2 linked regions of the Yarrowia lipolytica genome follow. The protein of the gene in region 1 interacts with the protein of each later gene in a pairwise test. Links are inferred from orthologs where the notes say so. Each region holds a gene or a part of one and is shown on either strand. Other genes may lie near its edges. The genes, in order: YALI1_D28221g and YALI1_F33791g.

Region 1 (3,989 bases):
GGGCAGTCCGGTTGCTGTTGGCGAGTACTTGTGTCTGTGGAGTCTGAGGATGCTGCTTATCACTTAAGAGGGCTACTAGAGAGAAGTTCCTACACATCCGGTTGAGCTGACATTGAAGCGACTGGCCACACAACTGATTGCCTAGAGGCTTCGATCGGGGGTCTGGGCAGATTGTGGGCGGGAGATGAGCACGTCCTCAAACTGGTGGGCAAACCAGGCTCCGAAGTGGCAGCACTTTCCCAGAAAGTCGACACAAACAGAATCAACCACTCATGCTCGACAATGTTGTCGAACTGGAACTGGTATCCGTAGCTCAGACCTACAAGTACGAACTCCCCAGCCTTCCTCCGGAGCCATTGCGGAGAATGGAAACACGACGAGTGGGATTCGAAGAGGCCGTGAGGATATGAAAACAGTGCAACGTAACCGGAAACAAGCCTCCAAGACTGCTGCAGCGACGCCATCTTCCGAGCCACTGACATGAACTCGGGGAATGTTAGTCGGAGTATTCCCTTGCAGACATGAAAATCAATTGCGTATTACATCTTTGTTATATACAGAGTGGAACGCTCTATGACCACATGATCTGCAGCCATGACCTACACCCACTTGAGCCTTGTGTGAACCTCACCTCACTAGGCGTCAAGGTATCCCTCCAGAATTTGCTGCACAACATCCTTCGAAAAGGGAATGTACAGCTTTTTCATGCCCATCTTGTCGTCAAATGCAACCACCATCTTATGGTCCATAAACTCCTTGAGTTTCTCCTGGAAATCCTTCTTGTTAGAAACCGTCAACTCGTTAAGACACTCCGTCAACACCTTGTCATAATCCACAGAAATGGACGTACTTCCTGTCAGAGCACCCACCTCGGCCTCAGGCAGCTTTCTCTTGTCAGCCACATTGTGAAACTCCTCCAGCTGACAGTAAATGAGGTTCTTGTAGAGACTTCGATGGTTCGGAGTGACCGACTCAAGTACATACTTGACACCCTTGGCACCCTGGGCCTCAGCCTTCTTACCAAGCAAAAGCGGATCGTCAAACGACGTTTCAACCGTGTAGGGAGCAAACGTGGTCACATCATGCCACACAAAATTGTACGAGGCCAGCTTGGCAGAGTCCCACATCAAAGGAGCCATAATATGATCGACAGATGCAACAAACCAGATTTGAGAAATACTCATGAGCTGAGACAGATGAGTAGACGCCTTGTCGATCCGCAACGACTCGCCATCAACATTGTGACACAAGACCACCAACGACGGCTTTGAACCAGCTTCAATATCTCGCATAGTGTCAACCACCAGTTTCACCAAGAGATCCACATCCTTGGGCAGTTTGTTTCGTACCACAAAGCCCTTTTTCGCAAAGATGTCCTCATGATTCTCGTAGAGAACGTCCACCACGCTGTTGAGCACCGACTTGAACTGGACAGACGCATTGTATCCGTTGATGACAAGAATGGGGATTTCCGAGTCCACTTTTTCGCACACAAAGTCAGTCAGTAACTCCCTCTTGCTTCCCAGACCATAAAACAGCAACGAAAACCCTTCCGAAAGCTCGAAAATCCATTGCGAGAACATTCCGCGGTAAGCATGCCGCAGCATCTTCTTCTGGTCGGCATGAAACAGCTCATTGGCCTGGTTTGTGTACTTAAAGAAGACGGAGTGGTCGATGGCAGGCGCCTTGGCCATGGTGTTGGCGTTACCTCGTCCTCGGGTCTTGTGTTGGTCAAAGTATCCCTCTGAAGAGTCCAGGAACAGAACGCGGTCTTCAGCCGCAATCAGGGCACCCACGTTGGCCAGCGACCGTTCGTCGGTGTGGAAGTCGTTGGACGAGTCGAGAATCGGAGCCCGGCTCTCTCCAATGATCCGTTCAGCCAGCTCAATTTCATCTTCGTCTTCGCTCACCAGTCCCAGAGACTGATCCAGTAGTGTTCTGTTGGCCTTTTTTCGCGCCGATTTGTCGTGGAGCGACCGTTTCACCGGTGACGGCGTTCCCGGTGCCTTTCGAGGCGACGCCGTCCTTCTCGGCGTCTGTTTTCTCGGACTCGTGGTCTTTCTTCTCTTGGGTGTGCTCACCTCGTCTTCAACCTCAAAGTCCTCATCGCTGACGTCACTGGTGTCCAGTCCGGAATACGAAACTGGTGCTTTTCTTCTGCTCATGTGATGAATGGTACAACTAGTCGGTGCGGGCGCCGTCTGGGGTTTGTCGCCTCTGCGGTATGTATGTCGTCCAGTGGTGATGCTCTAACGGTCAGATTAAAAAGGAACCGATAAACAATCTCTTGGTGAACTCGAACCCCGGTGCTGGATAAGTGTCGCCGTCTCGTCGCTCTAGTGCGCCGTATTGTATTGTAATGGTGGTGACAATCACTGATCAAAACTCAGAGGTGCATGAGAAACGCCCACCACCATTTTTATATTTTGAATTTCAGACTTTTTTATTTGGTTTTTCACACCAGCACAGACGACACAAACACAGGATGCTAACGTTTTGTCCCACTTGTACAAACATGTTGACGGTGAGTAGGACGGGGGGATATTGAGGGCGGTTGCTGAGTCAGGATTGGGCCAGGAACGACCAGATCATAGGTCGCGTGGATGAAGGCGAGATGAGACGAGACGAGAAGCGAAAGGCGAAAGGCGAAAGGCGAGGGGCGAGAGGCGAGAGAGGGTGAGGTGTCAGAAATCATTTGAAACTTCTTTATCACTAGTTATGTGCAATTCTACTCTTCTCTTACGGTTTTTTGCAGATCAATGAAGTGGCTAGTCATCGACCACACCCGAGAGAAGAGGTTGCCGAGTTCGATCTAGGTTGAGATTTGTCTAAAAGTATTTGTGTGCGCATCTACCGTCCGCTTTTCTCCTTCACCGCATCTACCATGTCCCCATCTCGTGACTGATCTCGTTGCTGATCCCGTTACACACTCCACTTAAGCATGCTGAATCACCATTGACACTCCATATACTAACTCAGCTGTCGACCAGCGGAAACGGCATGCGGTTCGAGTGCCGGACATGTCCCTACGAGTACTACTTGCAGGACGGCACCATCGTGTATGACCGAAAGGTCCTGGAAAAGAAGAAGGTGGACAGTGTTCTCGGTGGAGAGAACGCCTGGGAGAACGTCGACAAGGACCCTGGCTCGCAGTGTCCCAAGTGTTCCAACATGGGTGCTTACTTCTACATGTTGCAGATTCGGTCTGCGGATGAGCCCATGACCAAGTTTTGCAGATGTACGGCCTGTTTCCACCAGTGGAGAGAAAACTAGTGAGCTTAGACGTGCCAAACACGTTATGGGAAGGATAGAATGCATGTAATATATTTATGATTGATTGTCTGAGTGTAGAGAGTGACTGAAGACCTGGAACCGATCGATGGAGGTGTCAACAGAAGGGAAAGCCCAGCCTGCGATTATAAACAAACTCCGGGCTCGGTAACAAACACTTCACTTCTTGTCCTGTGTCCCTGAGAGTCTCCAAGTCTTCAGCAGAGGAGAAGTCGTTTGAGATTCATTCGTTAACAGAGGTTCACTCGGATGTTACTGGCCGTACTGTACATACTGTAGGGATGTTGCCAGATCTACCCAAGTTCAGTATCGTATCGGGAGAGCTAAACGCTCATTTTGCCCAAGTGGTTCGCTCCAGTGGTTCGCTCCATCATCATTTCTCTGTCAAATGACTTGGAGTCATTTCAGAACGCCTTGCTCACGCTCTGGTCAAGCCCCCAGAATACCCATGCCCAGTTTGCCGTCCAAAACCTCAAGAAAGCTGGCTTCTTCACAGTAACAAACAGGGAACATTAGCTGTGCCTCCATATCAATCACATATTCGTGGTCGCTGATCGGTACTGCGTAAACCAGGTTTTAACAGAGCTTCACACATCTTGGTAGGTGTAGAGCAAAACAACGGTTGCTCCAGGGGTCCTTCGATATCCATGTCATTCGAAGCCAAGTAACCAAGTCACGGTAACAGTCAAGCCCTGCGA
Region 2 (3,622 bases), on another chromosome or scaffold:
ATTAACATCAACTACAAGAAAACTCCCCTGGATGAGAAGATGCTGCAGAACCTGCACAAGAGCAGTTGGACCTCTGGTCTGGAGATCCAGAACTACGAGACCCAGGAGTGCAACAACGCCAACGCTGCACAGAAGATGGTCAAACTGGCCATTGAGTACACCAACCGAGTGCAGGAGGAGCAGGAGATGACCGAGGACCAGCTCAAGACTCGATATGTCGGAAAGCAGGACCCCAAGAAGCATCTTGAGGATGCTGTTACTGATAGACTGGAGGAGAACATTGTTTCTCTCATGGCTGGAAACGTCGACAACGTTGCTTTCCAGGCGTAGGTGGTTTGTACTAGGTAGTGCATTATATAAATAAATTAAACGGTTCATGTTTGAACTGGGGTATGTAGGTGCGTTCGAGTGGCCACTGTACTCCTACTGTAGCTACTGTACGTTTAGTCATTATGCTGTTATTCTATATTACTTATTCGTAGATGCTGTGTGCTTGTAGTAGACAGCACCTTTCGTGTTGTTTTAAGCACCATATTCAGTGCTAGTCGTTGTTCATGCTAACATCTCCATGACCATCTCCATTGCCGTCCTCCTTTTCTCTGCTGTTGTCCCGCTCCTCACTGCTATTGGTTCGGCAGCCATTCTCCTCGGTATCAGTATCCATGTCGTCACTTGGGCTGTTCTCTTCCACCAGCTCAAACAGCTTCACTGAGCCATCTAATGAACAGGTAACGATTTTGTTATCAATAACATCCAGTGAAATAATAACTCCCGGATGAGCGTCAAACGAGCCCCGCACAGTTCGATCCTGTATATCGTACACGTAGACGCGACCGTCCTCAGAGGCATGCAAAAGGACGGCTCGATCCTGACGATACACAAAGCCAGTGGGACAGCAGTACTTGCCATTCTCGTGGCCCTTGTATGTCTTGACCACCTTATTGTTCATGTAGTCCCACAACCTTGCAGTGGAGTCCATATTAGAGACAAGGATGAACTTGGAGTTTGGAGTGAAGCGGGCAAACATGATGGGTGAAGATTCTTCACCGACAATTGTTTTCAAACATTGGCCAGTGGCAGTGTCCCACATTCGGATAAGACCGTCATGTGATCCACTGACAATCATGGTTCCTTCGCATGAGAAGTCGACCGCCGAGATGGGTTGTGAGTGGGCCGCCAGGGTCATGATGCACCGACCCTGAAGCACGTCCCACACTCGGACATTCTCATCGGCTGATCCGGACACCACTAGGTTGCCCTTATAATTGAACTTGACGCATGTCACATAGTGGGTGTGTCCCACTAGGATACGCTGACTGGAAGGTCGGTGTGTGGACCAAATTCGGATCGTTCGATCGTCGGAAGCTGTGGCGAGCATCTTCGAGTCAGGCGACCAGCTGATGTCATTGATTCCCGCTCGATGACCTCTCAGCGTCTGTATCAGGTCTCCAGTAGCAGCGTCCCACAGCTTTATAGACGCGTCTGCAGAACATGTTGCAATCTGTTTGCCGTTTGGGCTGATTTTTGCCGTCGTGCAGGGTGCGGAGTGAGCGTCTATCGTGAGCTTCGTAGGAAACTCCGACGCCAGGTCCTCCTCCTGCTCGGTTCTCACTTTTTTTGTGCCACCGCCGAAATCCGTCGTCATGTTGGAGTATGCAGGAAGAACGCACTCTCAGTCGGTTTGACTAACTTTGATCGGGATAAAACAGGCAGTACTGTAGCATACAACAGCAGCTTCGGGGACGGGCACAAGAAAAAACCAACACCACAAATTAACACAGCATGGACAACATCAAGCGGCTCCTCCAGTACGTTACACGAGGCTTTTACGACACAAAGTCCATCCTGGTGATGGACGCGCTGCTCAAGCATGTGGTGCTTTCAGACGAGGAACTGCACCAGCTGCTGAGCATTCCGGCCAAGGAGATTCGACAGATTTGCGCAAAGCTCAAGGACGACAAGCTGCTCAAGGATCACACCCAGCGCGAGCAGCAGGAAAACACATACGGCTACAACAAAAATTACCAAAAGACGTACTACTACATCCACTACACTGTGACTATCGATGCCATCAAGTGGAAGGTGCACTCCATGAACAAGCAGGCAGAGGAGGCGCTTGGAAAGAAATCCCAGCCACAGGGATACGTGTGTCCGCTGTGTACCAAAAAGTTCACTACCCTCGAGGCCGTCACCAACGTGCAAATGGACGGCACTTTCACCTGTGATGTCTGTTCTACCGTGATTGTCGAAGATACCACCAGTGACGAATCCAGAGTGCACCAGGACCGACTGGAAAAGCTCATGCAGCAAATCAAGCCCATTATAGACGAGCTACGAAAGATAGACGACATCCAGGTGGCCGAAAACACCTTTGAGACGTCGCTTGCCAAGGCGGTTCCCGCACAGCTGGAGGTCACTGCAGGAAGCACCTCTTCTATCAAGACTGCTGGCAGAGGCACTACTTCGTCCCAGACGGGCTCCAACAAAAGCTCCACTCTCACCGTCAACCTTTCCACGGGTGCAGAGGACGAGGCTGCCCAGCGAGATGAGAAGGCTAAGCTGGCCGAACAGAACGCCCTTCCCGCATGGTACATGGAGTCTACTGTTGGTCGACAGATGGTAATGGGGGATACCGACCAGGAGCAACATGGATTCACAGAGATTGGTAACGACGATGACTATCCCCAGAAGAAGGATACAAAGGAGGGTGTTAAAAAGGAGGAAGTGGCTCCCAAGGTCAAGGCCGAGGATATGGAGCCCAAGCTCGAGGAGGAGGAAGAGGACGCTCTGGCCGCATACTACAAGCAATACGAAGCCAAGCAGCGTGCCGAGGATGAGGAGGAGGAAGATGAGGAAGATGACGACGATGATGAGGGTGATTTTGATGATGTTGAGCTGGCTGTTGAGGAGGCTGACTTTGACGAGGAGTAGACGAAGAAAAACTACAGGTGATGTACATATAACAAAGATTTTTTATACACATTAGACTACGAGTAACTAGATACGTACTGGTAGATACAGTACATACTGCATGATTCAAAACATCCAATACCATTATAATACACGTTAGCTACAGCTACTCTACTTGAAACGCTTGTCAATGACATCGGCGCCCTGTTCCTCATACTCCTGCTTGATGACCCAGGAAGAACCAAAGTTGCCGAGAGAAGCGAAAACAGAGGCACCGGTCCATGCCAGCGACTTTCGCTCGGTGGAGGTCACCGAGAGGTAGGGCTGCTTGACATGGAACTGGGTGAAGAACTGGGCCATGTCCCGGTGGATTCGGGCAGTCAGACCGTTGAGCAGAGTAGTTCCTCCAACAACGACAATGTTGTTAAGTAGCTCCATCTGGACCTCGGCTTTGGGGTCGGTCTTGAGCACGGCATGGTAGATGAGCTCCGAGATACCGAGAGTTCCCTCAGGCACGACACCTGGGGGTCCAAACTCGACGGGCCTGAACAGCGACTCGGCGATTCCAAATCGTTCCTGCTCAGCAATGTATGTGCTTCCGTCGGGAAATTCGTAGGGTCTCTGGATGTTGGGTGGCAGCGGTGTGTGAGGCATGATGGGGTGGTAGTTGACCTGGAGGGTGGTTTCCTTGAAGTTGTCGAGCACCCGCTCA

What was found.
Region 2: the proteins of YALI1_D28221g (region 1) and YALI1_F33791g interact in a two-hybrid assay, tested with the Schizosaccharomyces pombe proteins (2 studies listed by BioGRID). The link is inferred for Yarrowia lipolytica from reciprocal best matches to the Schizosaccharomyces pombe genes orc2 and swd3.

Annotation. Positions count from the first base shown.
Region 1 is NC_090773.1:2,820,262-2,824,250, reverse strand, and holds YALI1_D28221g (uncharacterized protein), read right to left. Parts: upstream 2,166-3,989; coding exon 636-2,165; downstream 1-635. Other genes in the region: YALI1_D28242g (uncharacterized protein), read right to left, coding at 1-97; YALI1_D28213g (uncharacterized protein), read left to right, coding at 2,486-2,524, 2,980-3,273.
Region 2 is NC_090775.1:3,377,185-3,380,806, reverse strand, and holds YALI1_F33791g (uncharacterized protein), read right to left. Parts: upstream 1,646-3,622; coding exon 542-1,645; downstream 1-541. Other genes in the region: YALI1_F33812g (uncharacterized protein), read left to right, coding at 1-330; YALI1_F33790g (uncharacterized protein), read left to right, coding at 1,783-2,931; YALI1_F33764g (uncharacterized protein), read right to left, coding at 3,082-3,622. UniProt on the Schizosaccharomyces pombe protein: The Set1 complex specifically methylates 'Lys-4' of histone H3.